4 linked regions of the Caenorhabditis elegans genome follow. The protein of the gene in region 1 interacts with the protein of each later gene in a biochemical or structural test. Each region holds a gene or a part of one and is shown on either strand. Other genes may lie near its edges. The genes, in order: npr-6, flp-21, flp-3 and flp-4.

Region 1 (5,029 bases):
TTATCTATTTTGATAAATGTGACGTTTCATTAAAATTTTCGTTGTGTCATCAAGTATACTCCTTGAGCTAAAATTTATATTAATTTTCGATTTATTCTGATTTCTGTTTTCAAAAATGTTTTCCTACGCTCATTATCCAATTTCTATCCTTTGCCTTACAATTTTGAGCTGTATTTGGTTGTCTCAGTTTCACCAAAGCTTATCCGCCCTCTCAGAATTGTTTACTTTAGTTCATGTGCAACGTTTCTCCTTTTCCACCTCAAGGAGTGCTTCAGTTTTTCTCGACTTTTTTCTGGTGCCCCTCATCGCCCGGTCGAAATTCAATTTCCGCGGTATTGGAGTCGGATTTCCAGACGAAAAATAGAGAATAGACGGATGAACCCTATACATAGACAGGGCAAGGGCAAAGACGAAACTATCAAAAGGAAATGTTCTAAAAAAGGTCACCTACTATGCGAGTCCTTTTTTTTGCAACAATGAGAGCTTTATCAATCAAGATAATAACATTATCCTTGGTTCGTAGTAGCCTACATCTCATGAATGTTTCACATCCCACCATTTAGAGAGATTAAATCCATTGGCTCCTTACATTATCTTTTTTCTATTTCTTCTCCACGTCCATATTTCATTTCTGATTTTCAATTGAAACCAAATAATTTGAATCTAGCTTGTTGAACTTACGTAAGCGTCTTCTTCTTCGAATTTCGACCCTTTCTTTCTGTTTTTTATAGGAAATTCAAAATTCGCTTCATCGAAGATGAATTCATAACATAAATCAAAGGACTCTCGATTCGCTTTGTGCGTTTGCGTACCAGTTTTTAGGCAAATTTTAAATAAATGAGTATGTAGTTTGTTTAACGTAAAGGGAAAAAAGAAGGGTCTCAGCTTATTTCGAAAAAGAGAAAATTTCTCACATGTATATGGATTCTTTCCCTTTTAAAAGTTCACGACGCCTCCTCTTTTCTCACTTTGAGATTCACTTTTCGCGTCTAGAATTGCAAGTCTCACACAGAAAGTGAGAAAATAAGAAAATGAGGGAAGTGTTTGGCTCATGTTCTCTTTTTTATTTGATTGACAAGAAGAATTGAAAACAAACAATTTTTAAAAAATCATTGAAAACTTTGGGTTCTATTGAATCTGTTTAATAGTGTATTATTAATATTGTAATTTTTATTGATTTTTTTTTTCAAAAATCATGACATCAGTTTTGTATTATATGAACTATGTAGATTTCTAGTTTAGATGTGGTCGCTCTTCTAGTGTCAATTGCAAAGATGCGAATATCATTAAATTTTCATAACTGACTTAACATATTCTCAATTTTATATTCTTTTGGGAGCTTTAAATTTGAAAATACTTCTAACATCTTTTGCTCTATGAAACGTGTCAAATCTCGTTTTTTCTCCTTAAAATCAAGTTCATTTCCGACTCTTCCACCGCGCCCACGTCAGAATATTATGAACTTAAAGAGGTCTAAACGAGACACATCGCAACCAAACATATCCAGTTCACAATTCTTAAAATGTACTCGATTTATCTCCCGATTCTAATATTTTCAGCTCTTCGTTTATCCCAATTTCTGATAATATTTGATTCAGATGTCGAATGATCTCGTGCCTTCAGTGTCTTCTATACTAAATGAAACAACACCTTCATATCAAAGTACATGTAAAATCAAAAACGTAAGTTTTCGTGTCCAAAATTGTTCGTGAACGTTTGAAAAAAAATCAAAAATGTTCATTGAAACTATTTGATTATGAATTATTTTAACTGAAGCCGAGTAATTTTTATTTTAAAAAAACACGTTTCAGAACCCCATGGAAATGGAATATTTCCGCCCATTCTTTATTTCTATGTATTGTGCTGTTTTTTTGGTTGCTAGTTCCGGTAATTTTTTGGTAAGTAATATCATTTTCGATTTCTCCAGTTTTCCAACAACTGTGTTTAAGGTGGTGTACGTTGTGATGACGAACAAGCGAATGCAGACGATCACCAACATTTTTATTACAAATCTCGCAGTTTCTGATATAATGGTTAACTTTACGTGGGTTTTTTTTGAAATCGGAAGTGATATATCCGGTTCTTATATTCAGATCGTTGTGGCTTACACCAACATACACCTCAATAGGACATTGGATATTCGGAGGTGGATTGTGTCATGGTTTACCCCTGTTCCAAGGTATTGGTTTACATATAGACGGGAAGTTAAGCAGTGATCAAGCATCTAACTATACAGGTACAAGTATCTTCATCAGTACGTGGACACTTACGGCTATAGCCATAGATCGATACATAGTGATCGTGCACAACTCATCAAATATCAATATAAATGATAGAATGTCCATGAGAGTAAGTTGAGCAGGAACAATGTATCAATAAAAAACCTAACTCCAAAAAACCAAAACTCTCATTTCTTAGTCTATAGAAAGGTGTTTTTGAAGTACAGTTAACAAAGTAACCTCCATGAAAATAATAGTTTTTCCTGTTTTCGGTGTAGAACAACTTTGTAATTGGAAAAAATTCTAATTTTTAAAATTTTTTTGAAACTTTCGTACATACCAAATTCAGTCTTGCCTTTCGTTCATTGTCCTCATTTGGCTATGCTCATTGCTTCTGGTCACTCCGTATGCCATCAACATGAAGCTCAACTACATTCATGAACCATGTGATTTTCTGATATGTAGTGAGGACTGGAGCAATGCCGAATTTCGATCTATTTTTGGAATTGTGGTGATGATTCTTCAAGTGAGTTGGGGACAATGAAATTATTTGTATAAATTACCGGGGGATTATATATACATATATCTATGCCTATGCACAAATCAATTTTCAGTTCATTTTGCCATTTGTACTCATTGCCATTAGTTACATAAAAATATGGTTGTTCCTAAATAGCCGTCAAAGTATGACCGAGAGAAAATCCGATATCAAGCGCAAAAAGCGTTTACTACGGATGTTGATTGTCATGGTGGTCATCTTCGCAATTTGCTGGTTCCCATTCAACCTCTTGTTAGTTTAGAAGTGAATAATATGTCATATATTTGAAATAAATTCAGAAACTGTCTCCGAGATCTCAAGTTGGATAATTTCATGCGTGGCTACTTCAGTTTTGTTTTCCTTTCCGTGCATTTGATGAGTATGACAGCTACCGCCTGGAATCCAATCCTCTACGCATTCATGAATGAGACCTTCCGGTGGGTTTATGGGATTTGCATTTCGCCGCCGTCTGGTCGAAAACCCGTTTTAAACAATACAGACAACAATTGATAATCATTAGTGACTCAACGATTTATTGGAAAATAAATTGCAGTTAAAAGATTACGAGGGGTTGTTTTCTTCTCGTTCAGGTTGAAAATACAAGTTATAAAATTTGATACGTAAACATGTGCTAGAAAATACAATTGATAAAAAGTCAAGAAGTTTTATCTTAGACTGCATTTGTGTGTTCAGTTCTCATTTATTTTATTAAAAATTTATTTTTTATAAATACTCAATAAAATTTCCTCTCGTGACACTGTTTCTTCTTATAATTAGAAACAGATTAAACTAAAAAAAAAGACACTTTTTGGTAAATTTAGGATTATTTAAAAAATTTGCACAGTTCAAAATTCAATTAAATTCAATTAAATTAAATTCAATAAATTGAATTATTTAATTTTCATTTTCTTGCAATGCTCATTTTCAGTGAGGAGTTCGCAAAAGTTGTTCCCTGCTTGTTTGCGCGTCGTCCTGGAACTGGTCCAATTCGCGTCATCACTGGTAAAACCTGATAAATTTGAAGTTATTTTTGCTTAGCTTTTTTTTTAGAACGCACCGCTATGATAACTAACCCGTTTCGACGTGCAAACCGAAAAAAAAAAGTGGAGGAACAGCCTGTTACGGTGATTTCTGGTGAGTTTTACTTTTATGTTGTTTGATCCTTAGTTATTCTTCGTTAAGAACTTTTACACCCGACATCCAACGAAGAATAGGAAGCCATTCATTCCCTGCATGCACTCGTTGTCAGTGAACTTTTCAACAAACCAGCAATCTTTAGAAACAGATTCAGAGAGTCCACTTCAAACTGCAGTGGAGCCGCAGCGCAGTATCGTGTATCTCGATGAGCCTGAGAACGGATCAAGTTGTCAGACGCTTCTGCTTTAAGCCGCTCAATACAAAACCGGAAAGTCAGAACAAAAGTCGCTTTTAGTCATGTCACTTGCCAGTACATTTATCCGCTTTCCACTTGCCTTCATATGTAATTTTCATAAAAACACTTATTCAACATTTTATTTTTTTGGTCATATTGTTTTTCTTTCCTAAGATTTTTTCAGCTAAATCTCTGATCAAACCTGTCCTGATCTAAACTATGTGGTTATACTTAACTTATGCACTGCTGTATTTGCACAAATCTTGCTTGATGCTGATTTATCTTTTGTTTCTTCTTCTTGTCACATTTTGATAAAATATTTGTAAATGAAATTTCATATTGGTTACAAAAAATTGGTTCAACTGGTGTGGTTGATAAGATCAGATATGGTTCAAGTAAGAAGGGTATAACAGAATCATGACGAAATTTCAGAATGACATATTTAAAAACATGCTGGAACGGGAAATTGGTAGATGTGGATAAGTAAAATAAATCGAATTGGAAAATTGGTGAAATGTCTTTTCCTGGTTATGGTCATTTAAATTGAATTTGAATTGACTTGATAATAATATTATAAATATGGGAAATTAGGAATTATTTTGTTTTTTTTTTCAGAGGAAAATTGTAATAAAATCTAAAAAGTTTGGGTAAATTTTTAATATCTTTCGATAACAGCTTCACTGCGGTATTCCGAATATGTCTTCGGACGGGCGGCATAGATGGTTTCATCAACATGATCACCATTCATATAGGTTTTGTCAAAATTTTTCTCAATTGCCGGCGCATCCTGAATGAAAATTTGTTTCACATTGCATTTCAAAAATGGGAGTGAGAACGCTACCTGTGGATTGTATTGAGAGAGACATTTAGATCCAACAAGATTGAGAAGAATATCAAAAA
Region 2 (3,028 bases), on another chromosome or scaffold:
TGTTATTTTCTGTTTTCGCGGTAATCATAAACCGAATTGGATATTTTATTTTTTCGAAACTTTTGCAATCGGCTCGGCTTTGGTAGGAAACTATGTATAAGTACTACTTTATCTTCAATTCTAGGGAATTCTCGGTTTTATTGTGAATAAAATCCCTAGGACTGATTTTTTCCATGTATTAATTGCCATACGAAATTTCTCGGAAAATGTTCTTAAAAATCATCAAAAACCAAAATTCAACGATCATTACACTTTCCACAAAACTACAAAATTGGCACCCAAAACTCAATTTCAGGAGCTTTATTACTATATAGTCGGCACATTATGTTAGAAATTCAAGAGATAGACGCCTCAATGGATTTATTACGGCAACTACGATCCTTGAAACAGTATCCATAATGTTTGTTCAACCCCTGCAGGGAAGACACCAACTGTTTCATTAATGTAATCCTGACTGATTTTCCCGGATTCTACCATTACAGTTGCAGGGTACAATTGCACAATTGGAAAATTCTTAAATATAAGGGCACTCATAAACTTAATAAAAAGTCAAATGTCAAACTGAAAGCTGTTTTTATTTGTTCAACAGAAAAAGAGGAAGTGAGATAGAAAAAGAGAGAGAGAGTAAAAAGAACATTGTTTCTGCAGCGTTTTCAAAGAGAAAAGGAGAGGATAGATATTTCTTCGGAATTGGAATTGTGGAGTGTCTGGAACATCATTTTTGTATAAAGTTACATTGAGAGGAAAGAGAGAAAATGTTGTGTCATGTTGTTCGTTCGTTCGAGCAGCAACCGTTTATCCAAATCGGAGAGGACGAGGACCGAGACCACGTTTCATTGATCTGAAATTTTAAAATTAGTTTACTTTTTTCTGAATCGCAACTAATTTATTCTAGCTGAATGCTCGTATTTCGGTAAATTATTAATTATAGCGATTTGCAACTTATTCTACAGTAAGACTTGACTTAATAAAGATGTCTATCAGAAAATAATTAAACTGGACCTACCCATGATCGTCTTCGGCAACATAGTAAACTCTGTCACTGCCGGGTCCGAATTGCTCCAAATATGCGTTCACTGAAAAAGATTAATGATTAATCTAAATCTTTAACTTTGACAAAACTTACAAACGCGGAGCGCATCTTCCTGATCGATATAAGGCGCTGCGAGGACCCACGCGAGAAGACACGAAAGCAAGATGAACAGCCGCATCGTCTGAAAATGACTTTTTGGATTTTGGAGCAATGAGAGGGTGGGAGATCAAACGTTGAATACACAATCAAATCTTAAATAGTGTACATAGTCATCGTTGTAAATTTGCATTTGTTAATGAGATTCTTGCGAAGCATGATGGGATGGGGTGGAAAAAAAGAAGTTTTGAGATAAATAGTAAGACGGAAGTGATCACTACGGTAGCTTTGAAACAAGAAATGAATATTTCAGTGTATCCCCTTCCAAATCTACTGGACTACTCACAAAAATGACCTTTGCTCCAAGAGCAACCACCCATCCTAGAACCTAGGCAAATGATACATCGAAATGTTTTTTCAGGTAAGATGATGTTATATGTATACGTGATTCCGGTAAAAGTTTTTTCTGGGAACTATGAGGAGGGTGTATGTGGTGGGAAAACAGGATAGCCCAATATTTATTGGGCACGTCATACTCGTTGCAGAGCATAGTTGAGGTGGCCGGAAATCGCGTTAAAATATGCTATGACTTGAAAACAACAATGGTCCTATTTTGGAAGATGTAATTTTACGCGATAATTCAACGAGAGATTGTAATAAAGACGTGTAGATTTTGAGTAACCATAAAATATGAAAAATTCATGAGTATTACAAATATGCAGTTTTTGGAATAAAGAAAATAGCTGACTTGAAAAATCTACTGCTCGATGACTTTGTCTAATTACGGTCTTGAAAGAAAGCAAACAGCGTCTTGTGCATTATGAGGTTTTTTGAATAAAAGGAAGTGTGCTCCGCTTAATTAAGATAAACATGTTTCAGTGTAAGTAGTTGGTCCCGACTGTAAACGCATCAGAAAACTTTAAGGTGAGAACAGTTGAGTTTCAATGCACGTATTTGATACAGCCAAAAGTTATTAAACTTTAATTGAAAAGTAGAGATTTCCACAACACATCTAACCTTTTAAAAATGTGACAGTTGATTTGAAAAAAAAATCTAGGACTGAACTAGGAAAACTGTTGACATACGTTCTTCTTTCTTTTCCCCTTTAATACCACATTGTTTTGGTCAAAAAAGTCTTTAAGATTTTTAATATTCGCAGACATCTCAACCAAATGAGGAACAGTCACAATGAAGACCACCTCAAAATGCATGTAGGTTCTTCTTTTTTCTGATATTTTTGCACAGCCTTCCCCAAAACATTCACAAACACATAAAAAACACCAACCAATTGATATACCCACAAAAGTGATGTGAAGAGCAAGTGGGAGTAAGATAAATGTGATGAACGATGAGGTGGAGGGTAAAAGTGATGAGAAAATGTAGTCTTACAAATATTCAAAAAAGTTGGTAGTTTTTGATACGATAAGTTTTCGATGAAAACCAAAAAAAGAAATAAAGAAGCTTTATGAGCCGAAAAAAGTAGAGATTTCCACGATTATCGAGTTACTTCGGGGCACATTTCGTCATCATCGAAGAAGAGGAAACAAATTTTCGTTGGCTCATTGACTTTCAAAGTTAAACTTCTTTAGAGAGTTTAGCGAGGCATAAAAACTTGAAAATTTTGTAATTTTTGGACTCGGTTTCAAACTAAAGAATGGAAAAACTTTTCCCTGTCCAAATGTCAAAGTCGCATAAAAATTGTCATTGGTAACAAAAAAAGTAGTGTTTTAGTGGGTCAGTAGATCAAATTTAACATTTGGCAGGTGAAAGAATTTGTAGAGGTACACGTCAAATGCTGGTTTTTGACGCGTTTTCTCCAAGATCTCTTATATTTTGGTTTTGGAAATATCAGCATTTTACGAAGTGGCCACCTAACAATTACAGACGAGTATTCACATC
Region 3 (3,220 bases), 190 kb from region 1:
CTGCATTTTATAACTCCATTTTTAATATACAAAAAATGAAGCAACAGATAACATTGTGAACTAGTAACGATGACTGTTCAGAATAAGAACAAAACGAATAAGCAGAAAAGGGAAAATATGCGTTTATTGTGAACATTCAGCGTTTTATTTTTAATTTGCAGTTCATCCATAATATTTTTTTCCTTGACTCTGTGCTTTAGTGATAGTTCTATTGTGAGTAGGCTGAGTAAACTTCTTTAAGAAGCCGGCAGTTTCCACGCATTCATTGGTTGGCACATGTTGGTCTTCTGTAAACATCTGAAATGTTCGAATTCATATTTGTTTTCAAGTGTCTAAAGGGGAAAACACCGGAAGTTTTGGCCAATCGGATGATGAAAGCGGACGAGCGAACCATGAAATTGTGTTCGAGAATTTCTCCATCAAAAGCAAAGACTAAATTTGAGAATCTTACAGTTTGCTAGCTAACTATTTTGGTCAAGCGTGAACAACTAACAACAAAATTTAACAAAGTGAATAATAACATTAATTTATTCTCCAATCTATGCAAACCACTTGATGAGAAGAACAGAGAAGGGGGTATTATGGAATAGTCGTTTTTCCTTAGTTTTTTGCAAAAGCCCAAGAATTATGCAATCGTTTCGGTATATTTTGGTATGAATTAGAAGCCAGAATGATAAATAATGTTAAAAGAGAGTGCCACTGCTGCGGGGGTGTTGAACATGAAAACTTAGTTGAAGCGAGAATAATATAAACGTGAAAAGTGAAAATAGAAATTATTTTCCAAAGCGCATGGTTCCAAGAGGGTTTCTTTTGCCAAAGCGCATTGTGCCAAATGGAGCACTGTCGTCAGCTGATCTTTTTCCAAAGCGCATAGTTCCAAGTGGCTCTTCTAAAAGCATAACATTGTGAAATCAAACTTTAGTACAGAACTGTATACCTGCTTCACGTTTCCCAAATTTCATTGTTCCAAATGGCGCATTACCGTCTTCTCTCTTTCCAAAACGCATGGTTCCAAACAGAGCATCCTCACTAGCACGCTTTCCAAATCTCATTGTTCCGAATGGTGTGTCGTTCTCAGGATTACGTTTTCCAAAACGCATAGTACCGAATGGCTCTGGAAACAGGTGGGTATAGTTTTTGAAAATTAATTATTTGTATAATACCTGCACTTCGTTTTCCAAAACGCATAGTTCCCAATGGAGTGCGCTGATCACGAATGACGGGCTCCGAAGAATCAACAGTAGACCGCTTCCACATTACATTTGACGGATAGTATCCATCCTCCTCAAATGTCATTTCATCAGCAATGGCTCGTTTGCCAAAGCGCATTGTTCCCAGTGGAGACCGTTTTGGTGTGGCATCTAAATACTTTTCATTCTATTTCAAAAACATAATTTCTATTCTCCTACCCGACGCTACCAAAAACGCGCAATTCACACAGAAGAGCAGGATGAGGTGATTGGGCGATATCATTGGTGGTTATGGTGGTGTTACGCGGGAGCTAACACACAAGGGGTACCTTAAAATATAACAATTAGTTACGGAAAATTTAGTCAAGAAGAAGTAGAAGTGAGGTTGTGAACCGCCGAGATATTTGCATGTTTTTATATGAGCTTAATTTCAACAATTTTAACGGTTCAGTTGTCATGCCGGAAGAGGTGTGTGGGGTTTTAGAAATTTGGTCAGGAATGCGTAAATACTGTGTGCAGTTAGAAAAATGTTCATGTGAAACGAGTAAAATTGAAATCCGGTGCTCAAAAATTATTGAAAATCTGAGCTTTGGCGAACAACTTTGTTTAATAAGTACTCGGTACATTCTATTGTCAGGTAAAAATTGGAGGCGTTGGCAATTTGGTTTAAAGGGGCGGGTTTCTAAAAAGTAAGTGGTCCCTTGATGTTGCAATGCACAGGTCAAACGATTACTATTGTGTCGAGAAAAGACTTCGAAAATGCACGATTTGACGTACGACGTCTACCGCCGCCCAACACTCCTTCAAACAAATTGCCAAGTAACAATGCTATTGCTCTTTTATTGCGGCCAGAGTTTCTATTAAAAAACGGTGGCACCTCAATTTATGCATCGTCATGTGACATTTTTGGAATACTCTAAGAAAAGAAATAAGATAATTGAGTCTAAAAAGACACTCGAAATTAGTAGAAGAAGCGTAGGTGGTAGTTTTCAAAGTTCAGGTTAATAATTTGAAACTGAAAGAATTGTGTTGAAACGGGGCGGCGGTTAACGGAAGAGGTGGGATCTCTCGAAAAACCTATAAATTTTGATGTTCAACATCATAATTCAAGCCTAGATGGATAACGAGAATGACGACTCGAACCCATTTTTTTGATGGGATACTGTAACTTTGTGACATCAACTCTCACACAGCCCACCGCCAATTATTAAATCTTTGCGTGCACAGCTAGTCAAATGTAAGTCTTGATTGATAATTGTCAGGTACGAAATTTAAACCGGGACTGGTGTTAGTTCAAAACGTAGATAGACATTTGTTCTCAAAAAAGAAAGAAATGACAGAATCCGATTGGTGCCTGTTGGTTGAGATGCCACCTTGTCGAATTTGTGAAGCGAAGCTGATTAATGAACTGAGCTTTAAGGAGGGGGGATTTTCTGTTTTTGAATAATTAAACATTATTTTTTGTCAAAAACGTCACTTGTCAGAACGCGAGAAATGATTAAGTAGGTTGAACTAATCTTGTTCTCAAGATTGAACAGTGTTTTGAAATTAAAACGAAAACTAATAAATCAAAGCTTCTTGGAAATTCTAGCACCTTCCAAAGTCACTCCACATGTTTAATTATGAGCACTCATTGACATTTCCGAAACAATTCTTTGAAGAACTAGCAAGACTGAATTTTAAAATTTTGATCTTGAAAATAGTGTGCCTCGTTTTCTGACCTAATCTGGCTAAAATCTGAAATTCAGTGCCAGTAGTCGTTTCCTTTGTTCGCGAAGAAAACGTAAGACTTGGTTAACAGATGGGCTATTATTCCATGCGGAACCCAACCACTTTATTCGAAGTTATAGGAAACATAGTTTAAAAAATGTTGTTGCATTGAAAGTACGGATCAAAATATAGGACGAGAATGGGAAGAAAATGTTGGAATATCTAATATGATGTTGGCTGAGTAGTGGGGTTCACCGTGCATTGAATCATTGATAGGATGGAGTTATTGGAAGTCGTAATCTGGCAGCGGATTGAATCGT
Region 4 (7,649 bases), on another chromosome or scaffold:
AGTAATTTGAAAAAAATAGCTTCCGCTGACTAAGCCCCTTTTAGAATTGCACAGCATTCTTTCAGATTTTCAATAATTTAATAATTTAAAATGACGATTTCGTCTTGTTTTGCACTACTTGTAGTATTTATAGTGCTTCCCAAATATCTTGAAATGTGTAATTGAAAGCCTGCGGGTTTAATAGAAAATTAAGCAGCATTTTTCTTTTTTTGTAGATGCTTTTCAATTTTTTTGGATTTTGTGGAGATGTTATGTTCTTTAATATTTATTCAAAAAAGGAGACAACTGGTAAAGTTAAATTTTTGCATCAAAACTTTTCCGAATAGATCTGTGGTCTTTTTTGGTAAATTGCCGAGTTTTGGAAAATTATAAAATTACCAAAGTTATTAGAAAAATAGTCCAATACGAACAATTTTTTTGATTTTTCATGCCCCAATCCGGAGCCCACACAAATACTTTTGAACTACATAACCATTTCCTCAATTTCCCCACGTACAAGTGGTTGCAAATTGTGCATTTCCTTCTCCTCCGAGCAGAAGATTGTTTGGATGAGTTGTCTGGATTATTTTTGGATCAGGAGCAATTTTCTGTTTATTAAAGAAAAGCGCAGAAAATAACACGAAAAAAAAGGCTTGATTTCTTGGTTCTTATTTTGTGCATGTTTTAGCGAAATTGCAAAATGTTGACCGATCTGATTTTCATAATTAGGAAAATGTTAAGACTTACTTATCTTTAGTGATTTCCCGAGACCTACGGATTCGGATTTTATTTTTGCAAAAAAGGAAAGTAAAATGAATAATTTCAATAATTCATTTAACTGTCTTTAAAAAATTTGAGCACTTGTTCCAATATTAAAAGTGTTCTATCATTTGCGGGGTTCCCAAAAAATCCTGCTATTGTTTTTTGTGGGATTTAAACTTTTTCAGCTCTTCAAATCAATAGGCTATTGGTGCATATATTGTCTTCTGACGTTTTTTTTCAGTTTCTATATAAAATTTTTGTACTTCCTTCTAATTTGACAGAATAATTCTAAAATCACATATTTGAACTGTGGGCGCTGAATTTTTTTGAAGAGCATGAATTTGAACCCGCAGCGACGGGTCTTTATTTTACAATACAGACGTTTTCCAAAGTTTCCCGGTTTTCCCCGAATATTCCAAAAGTTTCTAGAGTTTCTAGAAGGTTCTCAACCTTTCCTAAATTTTCTAAAATAAATTCGAAAGCCAACATCTACGCAAGATAATTTTTCAGTCGAACTACGGTAGTTTTCAATCAACTTTATCTAAAAATAGCCGAAAACCCCCATTACCTCCTAGTTTGGTATTCCAAAAGATCAAACTTATTGGGGTAGTTGGACCCCCATCCATCTTTTGGCACGTTTCATTCCCGAAGTTCCGTCATAAATTCGATGTCCCCCTCCACCTAATCATTGATTCGTCATGCCTTGTCAGACAAAACCCACGTCTTCAGCTTTTTGGTCGTACCACAATTTTTTCTCCAATGATTCCATCATCATTCCTCATTCCCCAGCTCGTAAAGAACTCAATAAAACTGTCCTCTTCTTCCTCAACCCATTCCTACTTATTCTACATATATTCCAACTTCCAGTGTCCATTCCATTCTCCTTTTTTGTGCTGTCTCCTTATTCTGTTTCCTTTTTTCCCCTATTCAACATCATTCCAGTCACATTCATTTGATTGCGCACTAGGCTCCGCCTGCTCACGCCTTTCTTCGCAAATTCATATTTGGATCTCAATATTTCCGCAAAAAATTGGTAGGTTTTTTTTCGCTTTGACATCAATAGATCTAGTTGACGTGAAAAGCAAACTGGCAAAAATGTTCTTTGAAATTCATGAAATTTGACAAAAAGTTTTGGTCTAACAGCAGTATCTTGAGGCCACAATGGAGCATAACCAGAAAACGTGGTGTATCTGACTGTTTTTTTTTCTGGAAAATCTTCAATTTTTTCGAGGAACTTCTTGAAGATTGTTGTTGTTTGGTTTAGTCTACGTGACCATTTGTAGCTGCCATAGTTATTTTCATTTTTCGTTTCAGAAATCGGAAATTGGTTTTGCTTGAAAACTAGCGAAAAGTGGGCGTCAAACGATTATTACTAAACACATATTGTTGATTAACTTCTAGAGTTTTTATTGGAGTATTTGACGTTAGCCATTGCAACGTCATTCATACAAGTATTTATATAAGACAATGTACATTTTTTCGTTCATAATTTTCTTGAGGTATGTCTAGTGTCTAGTGTATCAAATTTCTAGATATGTATTGTGGATCTAAATTTAGGGTATCTCCAAAGAGTTATACAAGGTTGTTTTCCAAATTAGCACCTCTAAATAATCGAACCTACATGATTTGAAATTGCTTTAAAAAAATTTTTTGTTTGAAAATTTACCAGTTTTTCAAAACATTTACTAAACATTTATTCAATACAGTAATGCATTTCAAAGCTTTTTATGACTTGAAAAAGCTATAGAGTACATAAATCTAAGCCCAAAAAAAAAACCGCAGACTTGTTTTTTATAAATTTAAAAAATCTTGAATTCAAAACACGTGTTCAATTTTGGCTTCTTACATGTATTGTTTTTAATAAATGTTCCGATGAAATCTGCAAGCCGATTTACTAGACTTACAAGAATAATTTCTGACTATTCATTGTTAATCTATAATCTTCTTATCATGTTACATATTATCTAGTTAGTCATTTTCTTGTCTTGTTCTGTTTTCAATTTCACTCATTTGCTCTCATATTTCTTTTTCCTGAATTGAACCTTGGACGCTCAAAAGCTAATCGAAGAAAAATTGCCGAGATTCGGGAATTTTGATTGATGTTGTCGAATTAGTTGTTGCTTGTTCGAAAGTGACAACATCAGACAAAAACACACACGGATTTTGAATTATTACCTATCCATGTTCCTTTGATTTTCTATTAAATTGTCCTTTAAGGTTTCAAAAATGTTCGGAAAACGTAGGTGTAACCTGAAGAGTTAGGAGGAACGTCTATTTATGGTCCATCCAAAAATAGTTGTTGTTATTCAATTTGCGGCACCGAATCTTCAGATATTCGAAAGTTAAGAAAAACAAGAAGTTAGCTTTTAGGACTGAAAGACAGCTTCCTGCAAAAATGTTCTTCTTTTTATGGAAACTTGAGAGCCAAGTTCAAAAGATGAAAAGTTAAGTGGGCGTCTTATTTGTGTGGGCAAAAGAAACTGTAAATACATTTTTAGATTTAGTATATATGCAGGACTACTTTTCTTTCTTGTTATAGTTCTTGTATAGCATCGTCGTATGCACGCACGTCTTCAGGAGTATGTTTTGTATTCATGTTTTTACAACTTTGGCAGTAGTCATGACATATTTCCAAGGAACGTAGGTTACCTTGAAGGCAGGCAGAATATTTTCAGCATAACATGGAAGATTTAAGTTGTTGTTGAATTACGTAGACAACAAAATAACATTTTGAGAGTTCTTTCTTTGCTAATTGTATTTACGTCTCCTATAAAAATTGAGCATAGAATAAGATCATTCGTTCAGATTTTCATGCTTCTTGGATCGACTTATAAGTGTACCTTTATATTACGGGCTACAGTAAAATTTCCTTCTTTTTAATTCAAAATCTTCATTCAAACATCTAGCTGCTACACAACAGGGGTGTGAATCAAGGGCTCGAAAACTGGAAATGCCTGATAAATATTTTGCAAATTTTAATATTCCGATTTGGAAGTCGCGTAGTAAAATGGTTTTCAAGGAGCTTCGAGGTCTTCAAATGTTCTTTTTTTTTAGAATTTCAAGCTTTCACGCACTTGATTTACACTCCTGCTCCCTGACTCCATGACTGTTTGATGAGCTCTTTTGAACTTTAGTGGTTTCTGGCTTCTTCAATAGTCCAGACGTAATAAAAAGTGTCCTTCTTTAGAAAATTAAAAGTTGGAATACTTTCCTTAAAACTATGGGAGAAACTTCTCTTACTCTGAGAATTAAGAAACTGTTTATCACTATTTAAAATTCCAGTTGAAGCATCGTGATCACAAAACTCAGAGCTTTACCACAAATCCAGAAAACAGAAAAGAGTTCTTGAAAATTATAAAATCTTTACGTGGGAATCTGAATACGTAGAGAGCTCTGGAAATTTACTTCCAGATAGGAATTTCTATCATTACACCGGGAAAAATATATCAAAGAACCACCATATTTTTTTATAAAACTCTTCAAAATGTAGTACGTGACTGTAGCCCAACTACTCAATTAATTCCAATTGCGTCATTTTTCCAAAAAGGCATTTCTCAAAATTTTCTCAGGATTTTCCTTTTCAATCCATCATATTTTCCAATTATTCTCAGATCAAACCACGCACCATGACAATTTTTCCACATTTTCCAATCCAATTTTTAATCAAACTGATTCTGATAACTCATATCACACCTAATAAAGTAATTCTACACCACGAGTTTGTACGCACAAATCTACAAATTGTGACCAATATCCAGTGAATTTCTTAGTATTTTTGCATGCATTTTTAAGCACCTCCAACTGTTCTTCACATTTCTTATTATTCCGTTCTTTTTCTTTTTTCTCTGCTGGGACACATTTTCAGCGCCGTGTGACGTCATATAATTCATTGAAATTTTAGAGTTTCAATGTGGTATTAGAATTAAATGTATTTTTGCTGTACAAAGAATATTCATTTTCAAAATACTTATTAGGTTTCATTATGCCACACTACCTGACTGATCATCTGTTACAGTTACCTATGTGATGAGTTTTCGTGATAGAAAATCCGGAAAAAGACACGGATGTGATTTTTGACTATGCTTAATCCTGAGAGACATCCATTATCGCAAACAATAGAACCTAAAAGAAAAATTAGAGTTTAAGATAAATGTTAAGGTTATTCAAAAAATAGACTTTTGATCTTATTTGAAATGGCATGCGGAAGAAACTATGAATGAACGAAGTTTATGACAAAGATCTGAATCCTACGCAGTACGATAATTTTCCTGAACGAAAAACAGTAGAAAGCTTTCAAATGAAGAACATCCAAGCACATACTGTTCGCGTTATTTTACTTTGAAATGATCTCTAAAGGCCCCCAAAATGCTTACCTGCGTGCCTCTTGGACATTTTGTGATAGTTTCGATGATATGTATTTTTGTGCCTATGAATAGGCTAGGTGATAGATTTCCTTGTTTTAAGACAAACACTTCCAGCAAGCTTTTGAAACTAGACTAAACTTATCACAATTCTAATTTTATTCCTAAGATCGCATTGTCAATTCACTTTCCGAAGATCATCTCGTCCATTAAAAGATTATTCTTTTTCACAGTGTAACCTAAACCTTGATTCATTAAAACATGAAAATGTAAGCAATAGATTAATATTAATCCTAATCTTAGACTAAAGTCTGATATGTGTCGTAATAATACCCCTTTGGTATTTAGTTAAGGTTTTTTGAACTGAAGGTTTAAGTATAAATACCTAAGAAATCCACTCTTACAACATTAGTTTCAGCTTTTGAATTTGGCAAAGTGGTGAGTTCAACTTTTGACTCTGTCTTATTCATTAGAAGTTTTATTCTCCATTTTGAAAATCTATCAGCTTCTGAAATCTTATCAAAATCACTGAATTCCAGCAATTATGGAGATCAATTGACAATCTACATACATGAATAGGTAGGCATTTTTTGCCTACACTCAACAAAGTTTATGACCACGTTCGAGACAGTAAATAGGTGATTTACTAATTGAAGTTAACCCGTCACTACCGTAACCCTAGAGACCAATAGATATAGACACAAACTAAAAACCAAAGGATTATATTTCATTGAAAACCAAAACGTCTGTAATAATTTCTTTAGACACATAAAAGAAGCTCGACTAAAAAATATTAGTTATTTTAGAAGCTTAAGTCTATAATTAATCCCTTCCGAGGAGGTTAATGTGAGTTTGAAGTTTTAATAAGGATCTTTTATAAATTCGTATTGTTTACAAACTTATAATTTTTGATCCATCGGATAACAGAACATGGATTCAACGCATAATATCTGAAATTGACAAGTTTGAAAAATTTGGCTGGCTCTAAAGATTTAGTTCTGGTGTTTTTTCCAGCTATCCTTTAAGCTTCAGAAATTTGTTTGGAGAACCATTGATTTTTGTTTAAATTTCATAGAACTACTTCTAACGGACCACCAGCATAATTTTGAACCCTTGACGTCAGACCACACCCACATTTCCTTCTTTTCCAACAGAAATTATGCAAAATTTGAAAGTTCAAGAGACTTCACCACTCAAATGCTCATATCGGGTGTCCAATCAGCTCGTATAATGTTCAGAATAGTTCTCATGTTTCATTACTTATTATAAAAAAGGTCTTTCGGTCTTTCACTTCTTACGTGGGGGCTCAATGTCTTCCAGGAATCGGGCGCACCGGTCTTGATGTTCTCCGAGATATTTCTTTGCATTATTGATACGTTTTTTTAAATTTTCTTTCTTCTCTCTTTGACGTGCGTTTTTGTGTCATTGGATATTTAAATAAAATATTACGATTAGCCAATAAATAGTATTTACCGTATTTTTAATTAGTCCCAGGGTGAACAGTATAAGAGAATAATTGAAAACTTTTTAATCAACTCAATGATAATTTAGAATAATCCCGATCAATTTTCAATCTCCAACCTTTTCCGAAAACTATTCCACACGCCTCATTGCAGATGTTTTTTTTTGAGAATTGAACCAAAATGTCTAGATAACAAAAATCAGCTTGCACAGGAAATATTTAGCACGTCAAAGTTTTCAAAAATTACGTCAAAATGTTGAAGATGCGTCAGTTGAGAAACATTGGTGATTGAGTTTTTGAATAAAAGGCTTGAAGTTTGTGAAAACGGATGTGCGTTTTTGTTTTTTAGGAAACCTATCACTTTTAGACACCAGTGAAATGTTATTTCCTCTATTTTTGGAGAATTATTGAAGTACAATTGTTTCATGGTATTTTCCAACTGAACGTCAATTTTTTTTTAAACAGGTAAACCAGAAATGCCAAAAAAGCAACCAAAAAAAGTGTTCGAATTTCGTTTTCAGGCGAAACAAAAATTAAAAAATTTTGAGCTGGGTGCGGCCAAACTTTGGGCAATCCCGGTTTATTCACCCTTTGTTTAAGTTAATATTGATAAATTACTTGTCCTCTAATTTTTTAATCCAACCATTATCAACGTCACACTGACTCCACCCCTTTATCAATTGTTCTCCGTTTCTTTTAAAAGCACCTGCTCAACCTTTTCGTCGCATAATTTTCCGCTTCAAGCTCCCCCTTCCCCTTCTTCATTATTTCTGCAATTTTCAGACAACTACAGCGACATGAACGCCTTCTCCTCTTCCCTTAAAACATTCATCTTCTCCTTGCTTTTTGCCACGTTGCTTGCACTCACAGCAGCTCATCCACCGTCATCTGGTGAAGAAATTGCTGAGCAAGAAGAGAAGAATATTGCAAGTCCAGATGAACTTATTGTAAGATTTTTAAAAATTGAGAAAAGTTATAAAAATAAATGAATGTTTCAGCCGGAAATTGTCGAGCAGCAAAACTTCTGGCCACCAGTGCATCTTCGTGGATTACGGTAAGTAGAAAAATTGCCTTGCGCCTAGTCT

What was found.
Region 2: of the proteins of npr-6 (region 1) and flp-21, one has a biochemical effect on the other in vitro, tested with the Caenorhabditis elegans proteins (one study listed by BioGRID).
Region 3: of the proteins of npr-6 (region 1) and flp-3, one has a biochemical effect on the other in vitro, tested with the Caenorhabditis elegans proteins (one study listed by BioGRID).
Region 4: of the proteins of npr-6 (region 1) and flp-4, one has a biochemical effect on the other in vitro, tested with the Caenorhabditis elegans proteins (one study listed by BioGRID).

The regions. Positions count from the first base shown.
Region 1 is NC_003284.9:10,282,265-10,287,293, reverse strand, and holds npr-6 (G-protein coupled receptors family 1 profile domain-containing protein), read left to right. Parts: upstream 1-1,559; 5' UTR 1,560-1,598; coding exon 1,599-1,682; intron 1,683-1,811; coding exon 1,812-1,898; intron 1,899-1,949; coding exon 1,950-2,044; intron 2,045-2,093; coding exon 2,094-2,179; intron 2,180-2,236; coding exon 2,237-2,349; intron 2,350-2,568; coding exon 2,569-2,745; intron 2,746-2,833; coding exon 2,834-3,009; intron 3,010-3,056; coding exon 3,057-3,194; intron 3,195-3,685; coding exon 3,686-3,759; intron 3,760-3,807; coding exon 3,808-3,891; intron 3,892-4,048; coding exon 4,049-4,143; 3' UTR 4,144-4,475; downstream 4,476-5,029. Other genes in the region: slc-9B.1 (Cation/H+ exchanger transmembrane domain-containing protein), read right to left, coding at 4,785-4,916, 4,971-5,029.
Region 2 is NC_003283.11:7,791,553-7,794,580, reverse strand, and holds flp-21 (GLGPRPLRF-amide), read right to left. Parts: upstream 1,215-3,028; 5' UTR 1,212-1,214; coding exon 1,127-1,211; intron 1,077-1,126; coding exon 1,007-1,076; intron 842-1,006; coding exon 796-841; 3' UTR 556-795; downstream 1-555. UniProt on the Caenorhabditis elegans protein: FMRFamide-like neuropeptide. Involved in modulating locomotion quiescence during the sleep-like state called lethargus which occurs during molting between larval and adult stages, acting via the G-protein coupled receptor npr-1.
Region 3 is NC_003284.9:10,091,446-10,094,665, forward strand, and holds flp-3 (TPLGTMRF-amide), read right to left. Parts: upstream 1,520-3,220; 5' UTR 1,474-1,519; coding exon 1,410-1,473; intron 1,362-1,409; coding exon 1,164-1,361; intron 1,115-1,163; coding exon 938-1,114; intron 890-937; coding exon 774-889; 3' UTR 501-773; downstream 1-500. Other genes in the region: flp-2 (SPREPIRF-amide), read right to left, coding at 3,184-3,220. UniProt on the Caenorhabditis elegans protein: FMRFamides and FMRFamide-like peptides are neuropeptides. SAEPFGTMRF-amide inhibits the activity of dissected pharyngeal myogenic muscle system.
Region 4 is NC_003280.10:10,047,278-10,054,926, forward strand, and holds the start of flp-4 (FMRF-Like Peptide), read left to right. Parts: upstream 1-1,590; 5' UTR 1,591-1,774; intron 1,775-7,347; 5' UTR 7,348-7,361; coding exon 7,362-7,511; intron 7,512-7,562; coding exon 7,563-7,618; intron 7,619-7,649.